Linked DNA regions of Arabidopsis thaliana. Changing the gene in region 1 together with any one later gene gives a genetic interaction. Each region holds a gene or a part of one and is shown on either strand. Other genes may lie near its edges.

What was found.
Region 2: of FMO1 (region 1) and ESD4, changing one suppresses a phenotype caused by changing the other (phenotypic suppression), as found in Arabidopsis thaliana (one study listed by BioGRID).

What each region holds. Positions count from the first base shown.
Region 1 is NC_003070.9:6,648,413-6,656,303, forward strand, and holds FMO1 (flavin-dependent monooxygenase 1), read right to left. Parts: upstream 4,784-7,891; 5' UTR 4,642-4,783; coding exon 4,186-4,641; intron 3,970-4,185; coding exon 3,729-3,969; intron 3,430-3,728; coding exon 3,251-3,429; intron 3,165-3,250; coding exon 2,815-3,164; intron 2,611-2,814; coding exon 2,244-2,610; 3' UTR 2,064-2,243; downstream 1-2,063. Other genes in the region: AT1G19230 (Riboflavin synthase-like superfamily protein), read left to right, coding at 1-46, 139-267, 349-427, 628-737; AT1G19240 (uncharacterized protein), read right to left, coding at 1,150-1,282, 1,791-1,972.
Region 2 is NC_003075.7:9,010,780-9,018,063, reverse strand, and holds ESD4 (Cysteine proteinases superfamily protein), read right to left. Parts: upstream 5,495-7,284; 5' UTR 5,296-5,494; coding exon 4,546-5,295; intron 4,245-4,545; coding exon 4,168-4,244; intron 4,088-4,167; coding exon 3,994-4,087; intron 3,910-3,993; coding exon 3,811-3,909; intron 3,515-3,810; coding exon 3,425-3,514; intron 3,327-3,424; coding exon 3,207-3,326; intron 2,979-3,206; coding exon of another isoform or gene 2,973-2,978; exon of another isoform or gene 2,960-2,972; coding exon 2,856-2,959; intron 2,564-2,855; coding exon 2,491-2,563; intron 2,330-2,490; coding exon 2,267-2,329; 3' UTR 1,885-2,266; downstream 1-1,884. Other genes in the region: AT4G15890 (binding protein), read right to left, coding at 1-611; AT4G15885 (kinesin motor protein-like protein), read left to right, coding at 1,086-1,178, 1,308-1,373, 1,431-1,613; TS1 (terpene synthase 1), read left to right, coding at 7,117-7,284. UniProt on the Arabidopsis thaliana protein: Protease that catalyzes two essential functions in the SUMO pathway: processing of full-length SUMOs to their mature forms and deconjugation of SUMO from targeted proteins. Cleaves precursors of SUM1 and SUM2, but not of SUM3 or SUM5.

The DNA of each region.
Region 1 (7,891 bases):
ATGGTTTAGAGGAGTAATGGAGGAAATATCAGACATGGACTGCAGAGTAATACTAAACACCAGCATATCATTCATTTGCATCACCTCTTTACCATTGATCGATATACTAACATATTCCTTCATCTTCTCGTAATACAGGGCCAGATTGAGTTGCACAACTACCTTACAAGCGTATATGATGAAGGTGATGCAAGATCAACCCTGATAAAAATGGTCCAGGCTTTGAACCATGCCAAACATGGAGTTGATATTCTATCCGGAACACGGGTAAGAATTGATGCAGGGCATATAACCAGAAACTATTTGCCAATATTACCTATAACTGACAAAATAACATCATTCAAACAGGTGAGAACACATTTTGCAAGGCCCAACTGGAAGGAAGTCTTCAGTAGCATAGCAAGAAAGCATCCAAATTCGACAGTCGGTAATTATTCTATACAATCAGCTGCTTACCATCAAGACATCTTATAAATCTCTCTTCTAGGACTAACGAATTAATACCATTGGAAAAGAAAGAAAACTTGCAATAGGAATTATGACACATGCAAACACATGAACATGTCTGCTAATATTTAGGCCAGGTATTACGAAGCATATGTGAAAACAATTTATATAATTGTGCAGGAGTGTTTTACTGCGGCATACAAACCGTGGCAAAGGAGTTGAAGAAGCAAGCACAAGACATGAGTCAAAAAACAACCACACGGTTCGAGTTCCATAAGGAGCATTTCTAATTCAATGTTACAAGCCAGCTTCTATCACTTTCCCTAAAGTGAGATTCAAATCCAGCCCGCCATTATTTTTTTTCACACTAACTTCACAGTCACTTAGCAAAGTAGATTATATACACTATGTTAAAAAAGGAAACATTGTCTTGCCTGTTTGTATAGACCCCGCCTAAAGGCATGAAAATAACAAATCTAAGTTACTATACGAAATAATATACGTGTCTTTCCCAAGATGATTCAATCTCTCTTTCCATTACCACAAGCTACTAGTCACAAAGGCAGAGAAGCAAACAACAAATTTTCATTGATAAGGTGCCTCAGCACAGTATATTGGTACTAAAACACATTCAAGGATAAGAATAGAGTAATGCCTTTGTGCTAAGTGTACCAAAACTTGCAGTAGAAGACGAGGTTGGAGTTAATCATCCTTTATTCTTCTCAGTAATTTAGAAGCCCAGCGTCGAACCCGTCTCTTAAGTGTATAACCCACAAACACTCCAGCGACAAAGAAAACAGCGCACAACTTTGAACACGTCCAGACCGAAACTCCGCTGCCACCAAACACAGTCCCAAGATAGGTCAGATAATTTTCTTAAATTAGAACTAATAGTACACAAAACACGTAAAGCCATTACATATTAGTCGAATCAATCAGAAACAACCCAAAGCTCCTACTAGATAGTCTATAATCGACCTGCACAGTTTTGTTCCTCGGGTATCTAAGATCTTAGATCATTTGAACAAGCCATTACAAATTTACAAGCTCTGTGTGATGTGGAACTGGGAAATCATCATGGTCTCTAGGTTTTGAGCTATAACACAAAATCTGCCCTCTTTTTCATTTTTGTTCCATCTTTTTAAAATTTCTCTCAAGCAGGCAGACCAATTCATAATCCATCCACAGAAATAGTGATTATTATTATCATCCTTCCCATAATTAGAGAGAATCTGAAAAATTGGAGACATGCCCTCACTCACTCACCCAAAATTCTTAAAAGTTCTTAGCTTTACTGGCAAAATGATCTCTTTTCGAACAAATATTGAATAGAAGCAGCTTACCTGGGAGGTCTGGTTACCAGAGTGCCGGATCCTGCGTCGTATGTAGTAGTCAAGTTGCCGGCGGCGGCTCGTTTGTCTTGCATCAGATTATCCGCAAAATCAGATAGAGAAGACGACGAAGAAGAAGCTGCCGATTTCGCTTCTTTCACCATCTTGCTGTAAAACTTCTCCAAACCCTCCATTTCTGGCCGATCAATTAGGGTTTAGGGTTCAATGATGATTCCAGTCATGAAGGAAGCGATTGCTAAATTGACTTCTCGTTGACCAAAAGGACAAAATTGGAATTTCATAATTACTAGTTGAAAATAATCCTTGACCAAGGTCATACAATAATACAATATTATTATATAAAATATCATGTACTTTACACATACATTTATTTATTCATTAATTATACATCCATCACACAACAATTCGTAACAATTTCATTTTGTAATATATATTCAATTTAGTTTAAGCAGTCATATCTTCTTTTTCTTCTTGACCGAGTCGGTAATCTTGAGAACCATAAGGACTAAAAGCTTCAAGGAGGAAGTTGGATTTACGCCAAGGATTGAGTCCCATGTCGTTGCACATATCATCAGCATGTTGGATGCTGAACGTGGAAATGCAATGACGTTTGTAGAATCTGCTTGAGTTTCTCGTCACTTCCATTTCTTTTAAGAATTGATCCAACATCTTCTCTTTGCTTGGTAATCTGAATTTCTCATCCACTAGCCGGCTTAGCCACATTGAACGTAGCTCTGATGTGTGTAAGTTCGAGCTGCTTTGGACGTATCCTACGAAACCCATGTTTGGTATCAATGGATGGATTGTTCCCCTGTAAATGATTTAGTTTGTATAAGCAACGGTCCAAATTTCATGAGTATACTAATAAAAGAATATATAGGCTTCCACTTGTACCACTGAATATGTTTATAGTCATAGAACTATATATTATAGCATGATCGTCTTTTTAAGTGTGCAACTAATGCATTTTCACATAATTTCAATTAATCTAAAGACGATTTTTATGTGTATGTACCTGTATAAAGGCATGACACCGCTTGGAAACTCAAGCCAAGTTCGGAAAGGTTCAGGAACAATAGCTTTGAGCTTCTTCTTGCCATCATAACCAGTAGCAAGTATCACAACATCAGCTTCTAATGTCGTCCCATCTTCAAACACAATCCCTTCTTCATAAAACCACCATTTTGATGATTTCTTAAACCGGATCATCCCTTTATCCGCTTCCTCAAAGAAATTCTCCGGTATGATCGCCATTTGACAAGAAGCATAGTCTTCCTCGAAAGAATGGTTTGGTTTTAGACCATATTTCTCAAGAGGTAGCTTCCATAAAACATATGATTCGATGAACTTGGAAACTACGGCACGCTGTTGTCACATATATGTTAAGAAACTTATAAAATTCTCAAGATTTTTGCATATAGAGAAGTGAAAAAGGTAATAAGATGACTAACCAGAAGAGAGAAGAGGAGGCAAAAGAGAGTTCTAAGGAAGCTTTGGTTAGGCCTATCATGGAGGAACTGAGAAGCTCTCGAAGAGTAGAACAAGAAGAATGGTAAGCCCCACACCCAATAATGTGGGATCCCCCAATGAGTTGTTCTCACCACCATTGTGCAAGCTTTTCCTCCTTCCCCTGCAAAATTTAAATATTATATTTAATTATGGGAATCAGATTAAATAAAGATCGAAATCGGTCATCTTAGGATATATATTTAATATGTTGTTTAATTAACTTGCGAGTAACTGTTTAATTGTTGCCAACTAGAACCATATACGTTCCAAGTCCAACCGAAAAGAAATAATATATACTAGTAAGTAAGACAATTATTGCTATCACTATATAGTATATATATTTTATCTTTATTTTGACTTGATCAGCCAATTATTAAGAGTGAAGCTAATTTATATAAATAGACATAGATATCTATGTACCTTGATTAGCTAAAGCAGACTCTAAAGCCAAATCAATGGCGGATTTCTTGAAGCCGATGACGGCTACTTTTTTGCCACTGAGGAGAGTAGAAGCTTCTTCTTTCTCTAACTTGCAGTAATCCATCGAATGCATTACTTTTCCTTGAAACATCTCCGGCCCTTTCTTTGCCGGAAAAGCTGGTATTCTTGGAACGTCGCCGTATTTCCCGGTACACACAACCACGAACTCAAATGCATGCCACTGCACACAAAAACATTGATATACAATATTTCATAAATGATGCATGCAGTAATATGGCAGTTTGAGATCCGGCTTAGGCTTCAAAGTTACCGAAAAACAATCGAGACAAACATTGAGATACGTAAGTTTAAATATGCGTATGCACCATTTGCTCGTGTAAATGCATGCATATGCAAATATATGAGACTGAATTAGCATTAAAGAATTGAGACAAACCTGAATATCTCCAGAATCTCCGATCTGAACAGCAACTTCCCATACAGGTTTTCCGGGCAACAAGTTGCCGTAAGCACCAAGGTCAACCATCTGAGGAGTTTCGCCATCACCGATGAACCTTACTTCGATGACCTTAGAGCCAAACTTCATGAATTTGAGAAGATCAAAATGTTTGGCATAAGATTCCAAGTAATCTAATATCTCAAGGTAAGGTGGGAAAGTTGTGTCATCTCTATTATTGGGCCATGGAAAGTCGGAGAACTCGTAATCGACTCGAGCCGATTGTAATTTAGTCGTCTCGTAAGTGCAGCTCCTCCAAACACCTCCGACTGAATCCGAGGCTTCGAATACGGTCGGGTTGTGATGAACTAAGTTCTTAGCGGCTGCTAATCCGCTAACACCAGCACCGATGATGGCTACTCTCGAAGAAGTAAGCTTATCATAGTTAGAAGCCATCTGAGAGAGGTTATGCTAGAGAGAAGAGAGATTAATGGTTTTGAGGAGAGGAATGGTTTTGATGAAGAGTGTTTTGAGTTGTTTGTGAGTTTGCATGAACATATTTATAAGATGTTTTTGGGTCGGGTCGGGTATTGTGTAGTCGGGTCAGGAATGAGTTTTATTAGGGAGCACGTGCTTTTGAATATTAGTTTAGTTTCGAGTAGGTTTGAAAGATCTAAACTGTTTTTTTTTTATCGCTGAGAAATTTTGTGGTTATTGTGAGGAAATTTCTGCAAGCGTGAGAAATATATTAAAAATTCGCTTTGTGTATTTGTTCGTGTTAAATTTCTAAGTACTTTCAAGAAGTCTAATGGAATATTTTCTCTTTTGTTAAATTAGGTTTTTAACTTGCTTTGTCTTCTTGAATATGAACAATTAAGAGCTTCTTAGTCTATAAATTGACCCAACTGTATTATATACAAATGCATAGATTTTTTTATATCAAAAATAGGTTTAAAACAAATTCTTGGTTCCATTAATATCGTTATCGAAATCTCCTTCCTATTTAAAATGTACTCTCGAATATCATTTGAGAATATTATAAGAATGAGAGAAAATTCCATTGTCCTCGGTGACAAAATTGATATATATATATATATATATATATATGTTTATTGCGAATTTACTTACAAAAATTATCTGACATCTAAATTTTATGGATAGTTGTTTATCGAGAAATATCGTGCGTGATAGAACGGATGACTGTATGTAAGCAATTTGATCGCTCATTAGCGAATCTAACTCAACTTAACACATGTGTTCTAGTCTACTCTTTTTATTTACAATCAATATGTATGCTTTCTTGAGATAATTATAACATCATATACGTACAGCTTAATACACGGGAAAATGTTTGTTTTTCCGAGAGCTTTCTAACGTTTAAGTCTTGAAAGAACAATATAATTATTGTTTTTAATCAATAAAGGAAATGTTCTCCGCAATGAAGTAAGACAAATAAAATGAACATCATAATTTTTACAATGTACATAAGACACATCCTTAAAAAAATAATTAACATAGTCGACAAAGACAATCTTGATTATGGTTTGATTTCCGCACAAGAAACGGGTCCGGATTGAAGCCATCCCTTATTAACAAGCCGTTGAAGAGCATGTACAGAGGTGAATTGAAATTTTCTATGTGTGATGAATTTAATAGTTTGGGTGGAATTATGATATATATAGTTAGTTCATGGTGAATTAGGTAAACTGTAAAGCATAGAAGTATATGGTGATACGAGTAGAGCGCCTTTAATTCATGTAAATTGCTATATGCAGCCCTTACTCTTACTATTCTCATACATTACAAGATCTTGAGTTTAATTTATCAACGAGAAAAAACAAAACGAAAAAAAGTATAATCTTTATATGGTCTTTGGTGGATAGACTTTATAAATGTATTTTAATTAATCATTATTGGTCTATTCTTAATCTGTTATTTCTGTCAGGTTCTTGAACTATAACTACTACTATCTCTATTTATTTATTTTATTTTTTGTCTCTAGTTTACTTTTGACTAAATCTTTATCCCTAAAAGCGAATTAAAATAATAATCGAGTACGTGTCCATGCAAGTGTTGAATTTCAAAACAATGGAAAAAAGTCTAGGTAGCCTTATCACTTATATTTGACTATCACCCAAAACTATGAATTGTATAAGCACACATTGACGAAGGATTTTTCCGACTAAATTTATGTTATACATTTTTATTTTTATCAAATTTGTGTCCAATTGTATTATTAGTTATACTATATATATTAAAAAGATAGAAAAAGAGATATAAAACAGTAAGATTACGAAATTGTTAAAGACAACGTAGTAATACATAAAGCGGTAAGGATTTTGTACCACCTTACTTTTAGAAATCATAAGTTTATATCTGCGATACTATAATGTAAGTTCAATTAAGAAGGAAATACATGATGGTAATATAATAATAATGTGGATTATCTAAGAAAATATAGCTATTACCATTACAGAAAAAGAGATTCAATTGCATCACATAATTTGTGTCAAAAAATTAAATGATACTAATTTGAATCATTTATTTATTAATAATACAAAAATTATAATTTAACATCAGTTACAATAATTATTTAACATCATTAATGCACACATTAGAATAAAAATATGTTCTAAAAAAAAAGAACAATTGTTCTCTCAAATTAATAGAATATATAGCTTGACTTAAGATATGTTGTCACACAACACTCTGCACATATATATAAACCAAAATAAGACTAGTCCTTTTTTTTGTTGGGTTGACCATTCTTCTTTCTTTTCTTTCCTTTTTTTGCCAACAACCATTCTTCTATAATATTGTCACTTGCGATGGTTTTTTTAGTATTATTAGCATATATGTATTTCGCAAATACGAAAAAAACAAAATCCAGTTGTCCTTATTTTCTGTTATTTATACTAACTCAAATACGTACACATCTATAATAATTTTATATCCAACCATGACATACCCCTAATCAGTTAGTAAATGATGTTTAATTAGGTATCTTAACATGTGTACCGAGTAAGCCAATTTTTTGTTAGTCGTGAATGTGGAGAATCTTCAAGTCAGACGTAACAGCACAAAAAAAATGAAGCCTAGTGACTAAGTCACAAATATACTTAATTAACTTGGTAGATTGTCAGTATCAGATTTTATGAGAAAACTAATGTCGATTTTTTTTGTATTTACTGTAATACAATCATTTGGTTGATTAACTGAGTCAAGGTTGTTTATGTATCAAATCACTTTAAATTTGAGGAATATCAAATAATATGATGAGCATGATATATGTATATTTATGCTATATAGAATACTTATGTATATATATATATATATAGTCATACAAAAATGATCAAATATAGTGAAAAGAGGAGGATCGTTAAGAAAAAAAGAGAGCGAGAGAGAGAGGAGGAAGTAACAAAGAAAATGAGGAGTTTGAACTCAAACAGAGGAGAGAAAGTTAGGAATATGGTTTGAGAAAATAAAAAAGGAAGAGAGTATGTACAATGTACCATTTTAATTGTTTGGTACGAATCAATTTTCTTACGATTGATATTTCGTAATCTTACTTCTTGTCTTTGTTACATGCATGTTTGGTGTGGTCCTAACTCCTAAGCATCTTATATATGCCCCTCCATCATAATCGAGAGAGAGAGAGAGAAAAAAGCGATATACAGTTTAACAAAGGTAAACTTTTATTTGATGT
Region 2 (7,284 bases), on another chromosome or scaffold:
AAAACTCCAGAGTGCTCCAACGCCAATAAAGGAATCTCACTCACAGTTTGTACCAAAGATTTCAAACTATCAGGAAATCTATCTAAATGAACAAAACTCAGAACCGAGCCAAGCTTCTCTAACACTATAAACATCAATTTCGCATCAAATCCACCTTCTTCAGTCTCTTCCCCATCTTCATACCCTAAATTCCTCTTACCACGTCCTCTCTTCTTCTTATTCCCTTTCTCTCGCTGCGAATTACTCCCTTGACCGGCGGAATCATCACGGCGTTTGAGGTAGCGGCGAATTGAGCCAAGTAGAGAAAGAAACGCAATCGGAGAGAAGAAAGTGAAAACGGGGCAATTCGTGGAAAGAAGCAGACTGAGATAAGCGTCGGAGGCTAAAATAGCAAGACGGCCTGATTCAACCGGAGAATCCATGGCGGCGGAGATACAGCGGAGAAACGAAGAAGCCATTGAGGAGAGACTACCGTAGAATCGATTGAGAATTTCATCATCGTCTGTATCAAGTAGAGATTTGAGATCCGTGACGAGTTCATGATAGTCAGATTCATCGTCTCCTCCTTCGATTCCTGCAAGGATTCTAGTGAGCAGAAGCTCTTCATCCATGGCGATTCTCTACTGATAGAGAGAGAATTTTGGATTTCACAGAAATTCAGGTGAAAAGGTTTCAAATCATTTTGGATTTCCCGCGATCTGTTCGTTCTTATTAGAATTCAAAGTGGGACTTAGAAAAAGGTTTGGGGCTAATTTAGCATTTCCACAAAGAGCAGAGTCCTCAGTGGGTAATATGATGTATACGAAACAATTTTGGGATTTTAATGAAACAAACCCTGCAGTTTTGGCTGATTCATTTTAAAACCTTCAACTTAAGTTTTAATAGAAATACCTCTCATCTCAGAAAGTCTAATGAAAAACCAGACACTATACTATACTAGTCAAAGGATTCACTTAACATTTAAGGAATATGATTTATGCTTAACATTTTAAAATCTTCTTTTGGCGGCTCCACTAGTCAAAGGATTCACTCATCTTATTCTCAAGACTGATGTCCCTGCCATGACAAATTCTAGACAACAAAATATGGCTAGCAGTCAGAACACAAGCGATACATCTTCAAGGCAGTATGAAACAACGGAGCCTTCTCTTGATGAAAACATTGATGCATTGCTTGAGGTAAAGAGCCATTTGACCCTTCTATACTTCTAAATTATGCTATGAGCGTGAGGGAATTTTATGAATATCGCTCACGAATAACCTTAGAAAACCTGTAATATGGTAATTATTTTGTTTAAACTCTGGCAGGAAGAAGAGACCTTAATTACAGCACACAGAAAAGAGATCGAGGATACAATGGAAATAGTTCACGAGGTTATGGCTCATATGTCTTGTGATTGTTTTAACATTATTTCATGTTTTTTTTTGTAGGAAATGAAATTACTAGCGAAGGTGGATCGGCCAGGGAGCATGATTGACAACTATGTTACACAGCTGAGCTTTGTGTTGTCCCGTAAAGCAGCTGGTCTTGTAAGTCTTCAAGCCCGTCTTGCTCGGTTCCAACACCGTCTGAAAGAACAGGAGATACTTAGCCGGAAGAGAGTTCCGCGCTAGGAAAGGCAGTGGAAGTTAGTTTGCCTTCCAGTCAGTTTTTGTTAGGAGATACACACAAGTCTTCCTTCCTCTCGTGTTTTATGAATTGGGGAATTTGTTTTTGTTTTTGGGAGTGGGTTTTAATATGTCAATGTTACATTTGGGATTTTGTTTTTTCTGTGTCCTTGTCAACATTTGTACTCACAAACAGCAGTTTGTTGTATATTTGTAACATATTCGTGTATGTATTGGGGAAATTGTGCAGAACATTTGTATATCGAAAACATTTGCTTTCAAGAGATTATTCATGGAATTTTGGCTATTGAACAGAGGAAAATATATCGAACCGATACTAGATGGAAACTTTAAATTGCGTTCGCACTGGTCAAGACCGGAGAGAAATAAATAAGGTTTTCAACATCTCATATATCTTCAGCTAGACTAACCAACATAGAGATCCAAAACGCTTCATCTACATTTTAAAACAAGAAGAAGGAAAAAAATACAATAACGGAACGAGCTAAGAGCTCTGGGCTTGACTCAGTTTTTACCTCTGCTTTTAAAGCCGAGTGCTTCACTGCCTAAAAGGAGTGGGATTTAAAGTTTGAACAAATCAACAATGGCAACCAAAAATAGTATTCCTAATAGCCGAAAAAACATTAGCACAAGCAACTTCAATCAGCTCGTAGCCTCAGAATCTCTTTAGCTGTTCTGAGTCGGAAGTATGGCATGTGTTCCTGCAAAGTAATACAATGTTATTACGCTAAATGCCTAAATCCTACAAGTTACATAAACTGCTAGGGGGATATACTAATTCCATATTGTTTCAAGACAACCAGTTTTTATTCTCAACTACAGTTTCTTGAGGCATTCAGAGATTTGGATTCTGATAGCTTACCTGGCTGAAACATAGCCCCAGGCCTCTGCTGAAAAAATCGATGTACTTAAGCATAAACATTCCACAGTCATACCTGAGAATATAAAAGATTGCAACAAAGAAACAATATAGAGTTAGCAGAGAGCTTAACCAGAGTGCTAAAGAGCATAAGAACAGTTAAGTTATACCCTTGTTGATTCCATTATCAAAATTTATATCAGGTGAATTTCTCCTAATCAATCTCAAACCAGATCTATCCTTTGTCTTAAAAACCCATATTCCCACATCAGAAGACAAGTATCTGATTCTACAGAGGTTATCTCTTTAACAAGATAGTTCCTTTCACATGATCATGGATCATAGCAAGTTCAAGCATAGTTACATACCCATTCTTTTGTTGGGGAAGGTCTTCCACAAATTCCATGTCCCACGAATTAGCATCAATCTTTTTTCCACTTTTTTCATTTGCTTCATCACCCATGTATTTTGCCTGAAGCAGAATATCAGATCTGGCATTAGCTATAACGACTAGTATATATGGTTAGAACACTTTCACAGTAGTGTCCGATTTAAAAAGCAATAACAGCTTCTGGCATCTCCATAATGTCTCCAAACAGATTTCAGAATCAAGAAATGATGATAAAGATTTATCAGCATCTAATATCTTTTAATGCATCCAACATGTCAGTTATTAATAGACTAAATAAAGCGAATAAGAGTTAGAAATTAAATCATACCAGAGCATTCAGAATCATAGGATCAACTCCATTCAGTGAATCAAGATACAAGAGCTTGCTTTCCCTGTTGTTAATTACTGCCAAGGTCCAATGCACACCCCTGTGGATGGGAACAAATATCTGCAGAGGGCACAGACTAAGTTAAACATAAATAAATTGGACTACATGCGTAATATTAACAAGAGAATCTTCAAATTCAGGTTCTTCGACAAAATTACCATGTCACAGTCAATAAGAGCATATCCCAACTTTCTCTGCGTAGTCCATCTCCTGACAGCTTTAAAATTATAACCAGAATCGCTTACCAGCTGAAAAAAATAATTAAAGAAAGACAGATTTAAGTGCCAGAGGATTCATCAACGTATAAGAAGGCCACAGCTTGTCTTGGTTACTCACTGCCATTCATGGGATACAGAAGCCAGAGACAACTGAGTACCATGGGGAGAAACAAGGCCAAATATATCAATAATCTTATCATAAAGATCACTTAAACATACTGCTTATCATTTTTATGGAAGCAAGTAGCAGCTACTCAGTCGAACTGACATGAGGCAAAAAGGATCAAATTTTTGTTAAAAATCATCTGAGCAGAAAGAAAACAAACCTTTTTGTAGAAAAAGGTATTGAAGTAGTGACACTTCAAATACTTTTTGGGCTCTCTAGTTTCTCTTTCTTTGAGTAGTTCAAGGTAGACATTGATAACCTATAAAACAGAACAAGAAATCAGCAAAAGAAAATGTGATTTAAGAGCTCTTAATTGTGTAGAATATTATGGAACAAGTTGTACCTCGTCGTTTAGCCATGCAGATGGTGTAAGGCATTGCAGAACTTCTCCAGTAATATCAATGTTTGAGTTTTCATGAGTAGCCAAGACCTTCCTTCTGAAAAATGGGAGACATTTGGTTTTTGGTTAGACTAAAAAAAATCACTCAACATGCTAGAGCGTCTTAAGAAACCATACCTATTTCTCCCAGAAAAGGCACGGTAGACTTCAGCCTCTTCATCTTCTGTGAGAGGAATAAAAGGTTCACGAGGCACCTTCATTATATCAACAACACAACAAACATAGTGTTAACAACAACAATAAACATAGAAACACACTAACGATCTCAACGCTAAGATTACAATATACTCTAATAAGTAGAAGAACTTTGACTCTGTGTGCATAAGTAATAACTGCAGCTTAATAACCAATAAAGCCAACAAGTATTGTACTATCTTCAGTCTACACTAACAAACAGTAGGCGATAACATCATATGCATTTTAGAGAAACAATCCAAACAAAGCAATGTCATTAATTATATCCAATTCAAGAAAGATTAGTATAAATCTCATCACCTCAACACGCTTTTCCACAGTCTTTGGGCGAGACTGACGCAGCAGTGACAACTTCTTCTCATTCAACACAATCTCAAAACCCAAAGCTTCCAACTTTGAATTCCTCTTCTCCGCACTTTGCATAAGCTTTCTATAAGCTTCGAGGCTCGAAGCATCATTATCGACATCTCTATCTAACGACAACGAATCCAGCATCATACTAGTATCCTCAACTCTAAAGTTCTCCCCTTTCTTAACATCAGTAACACCAGAAGAAAACGAAGGCTGAAGATTCTTCTTCTCCTCATCATCATCACAATCAATAACTTCAATTGCTTGAACACTTGAATCATCAGAAACAACTTCCTCCTTTTCAACCTCATCACCCAAATCAACAAAGTCTTTACCTTTATTAACGAATCTCAAAGCTTCCAAAGCTGATCTCTTTGCATCATCATACTTACGAACAAAGAAATTTGCGTCCTTTTCGCAGTAATCATTAGATTTTGCCTTTCCATATCTAAGAATTCCTCTACTAGGAGCATGAATCTCTCGTCTAAGAGGAGCTTTAGCATCAGGGTACCTTGAAATCCTCGAAATTGTTGGGTTTGAAGACGCTGGCTTACCAGAATCTTCAGACATAGCGAATGAGAATCTTCGTTTCTTGGAAGCTTGGAAATACGGTGAATTTCGTAAAGGGTTGGTTGATTGTTGATTAATGAAATTGAAGGATTCGTCGCTGCGTTTACGATTGATCGCTACGGCACCCATTAGGGTACGAATTTGGATGAACCACTAAACCCTAGAGATTGAGTAATCAATGAGATGAGAACCATTCGAGAGACACCTAGAACATGAAATTAGGGTTCTGTAGAAGAAAAGAAAGCTCAAAGATGAATGATTTGATTTTTTCTCTTTCCTTTTAAATTTGGGGGTTTTCTCCAAAAATAATATTTGAAAGAAAAAAAATTGTGGTTTTATACTTAACTAAACTATAAAATTTATGAAAATCAAATTAAAATTTTTTCATAACAATTAAAGTATGGTGGGATCATGATATAAATATTCTCCTTACCAAAATAAATAAATAAATAAATATATATATAAATATTCTTGGTACTACTCTTCAGTCTTTGGTGGTATACGATATTGGATGTTGAAGCTATCACACTCATCTATGGACATGTCAATCGGAAAAGAAATAATGTGGCAGATGCACTATCCCAACAAGCCTTTGTTATATAGGTTCTTTGTATCAAACATATACAACACCACCATATGTTTACAATTTAATGCAACTAGTACTTGTTAACAAAAAAAAAAGAATTTTGATTAATGGTTATGGTTTTCTTTGTTTTTGAAGTGGCTTTTGGTTTAAATTTTTTCACAATTTTGTTTAATAGCCACAACTTTTAGAAAGTTATTACATTTCAGTAATTGAGTTAACTGTATCTCAAGAAAATTATATCTTTCGGAAAATTATGTAGACGCTAACTAACCTTTACAAAGACGCCTATGAGACTGCAAAAATTCTTGTCATATTTATTGATCAAACTAACGTAGAGTTTGACCAAGAGAAAAAGAAGTAAAAAACAACAACAATAGATATGGATGTTAACGTTGATTTTTAAATGATGGAGATTTGTTTGCACTTTTTTAGATGGAGATGGATCTTATTTTTGCCACTTGGAGGTTTTTTAAAAAATGAAAAACTAAACATGTTTTACAGTAAAACCTCTACAAATTAATTTTTGATAAATTAATAAATACAAGAAGATAATATTATATTAGTTTCAAGTCGTGTGAATGTAAAATTTAACATAATTTGATAAAATAATAAGTTAACAATTTTTTAAAACCCTATATAAAAAATATGATTTTAATAACATCATAAATTAATAACCACAAAAATATAATATATATACGATAATATATATAATCTATAGTTTAAATATTTTTTGAACTATTGAATGTTTGTTAGAGTTTGTCTTGAACTATTATTACATCAAACAATGATTTTGTCTCTAATTTTCATTAAATTATGTTGTGTTTTAAAACTATCATATTGTAGTATCGTTTATAACTTCCTAATACAATTAGTCATAAGTTTTTATAAGTATACAACTTCTTAATCTGCATTATTTTCATTTCAATAGTCTACTACATTTAAAAATCTGATAGTTGAGGTTATTAATCATAAACTTAGATGTATGTATATCTATTATATAAATGAATTCAGTTATAGTCATTGTGATTTATTGTCAAATGAGTTTTTTGAAATATTAAATTTTCAATTCTAATACTACACAAATTTCAACATCCAAGTCATTAATTTGATGTATATTGAATTGTGTCAACTCGTATTCTTTAAAAAATTAAATAATTAAAAAAAGATCTATATAGATTAATAAATATCAATTTAAAGATAAACTAATATCACTATAAATTCAGAAAATATCATGGTCCCAACATAGATTGTATTATACACTGAAGAAGATAAATATGGGGATATTAATATACATTCTTCCAAAACTTTTCAAAAGATGACTTAATGAAAACGCTTATGTTTTGCCTATAAATTTGGTGGTGAAAATGTATTCCATATCACTAGTAGTAAACATGCAATGCATATCAGCTTATGGATCTATACTCTCTCTTCCTTTACGTTCCAATTTATTTTCGGTAAGAAAACTCTCTAGCTTTCCCCACAAGTCATTTTCAGGTCAGCATGGAAAGCTTGTTCGCATGAAGGCCACCCCT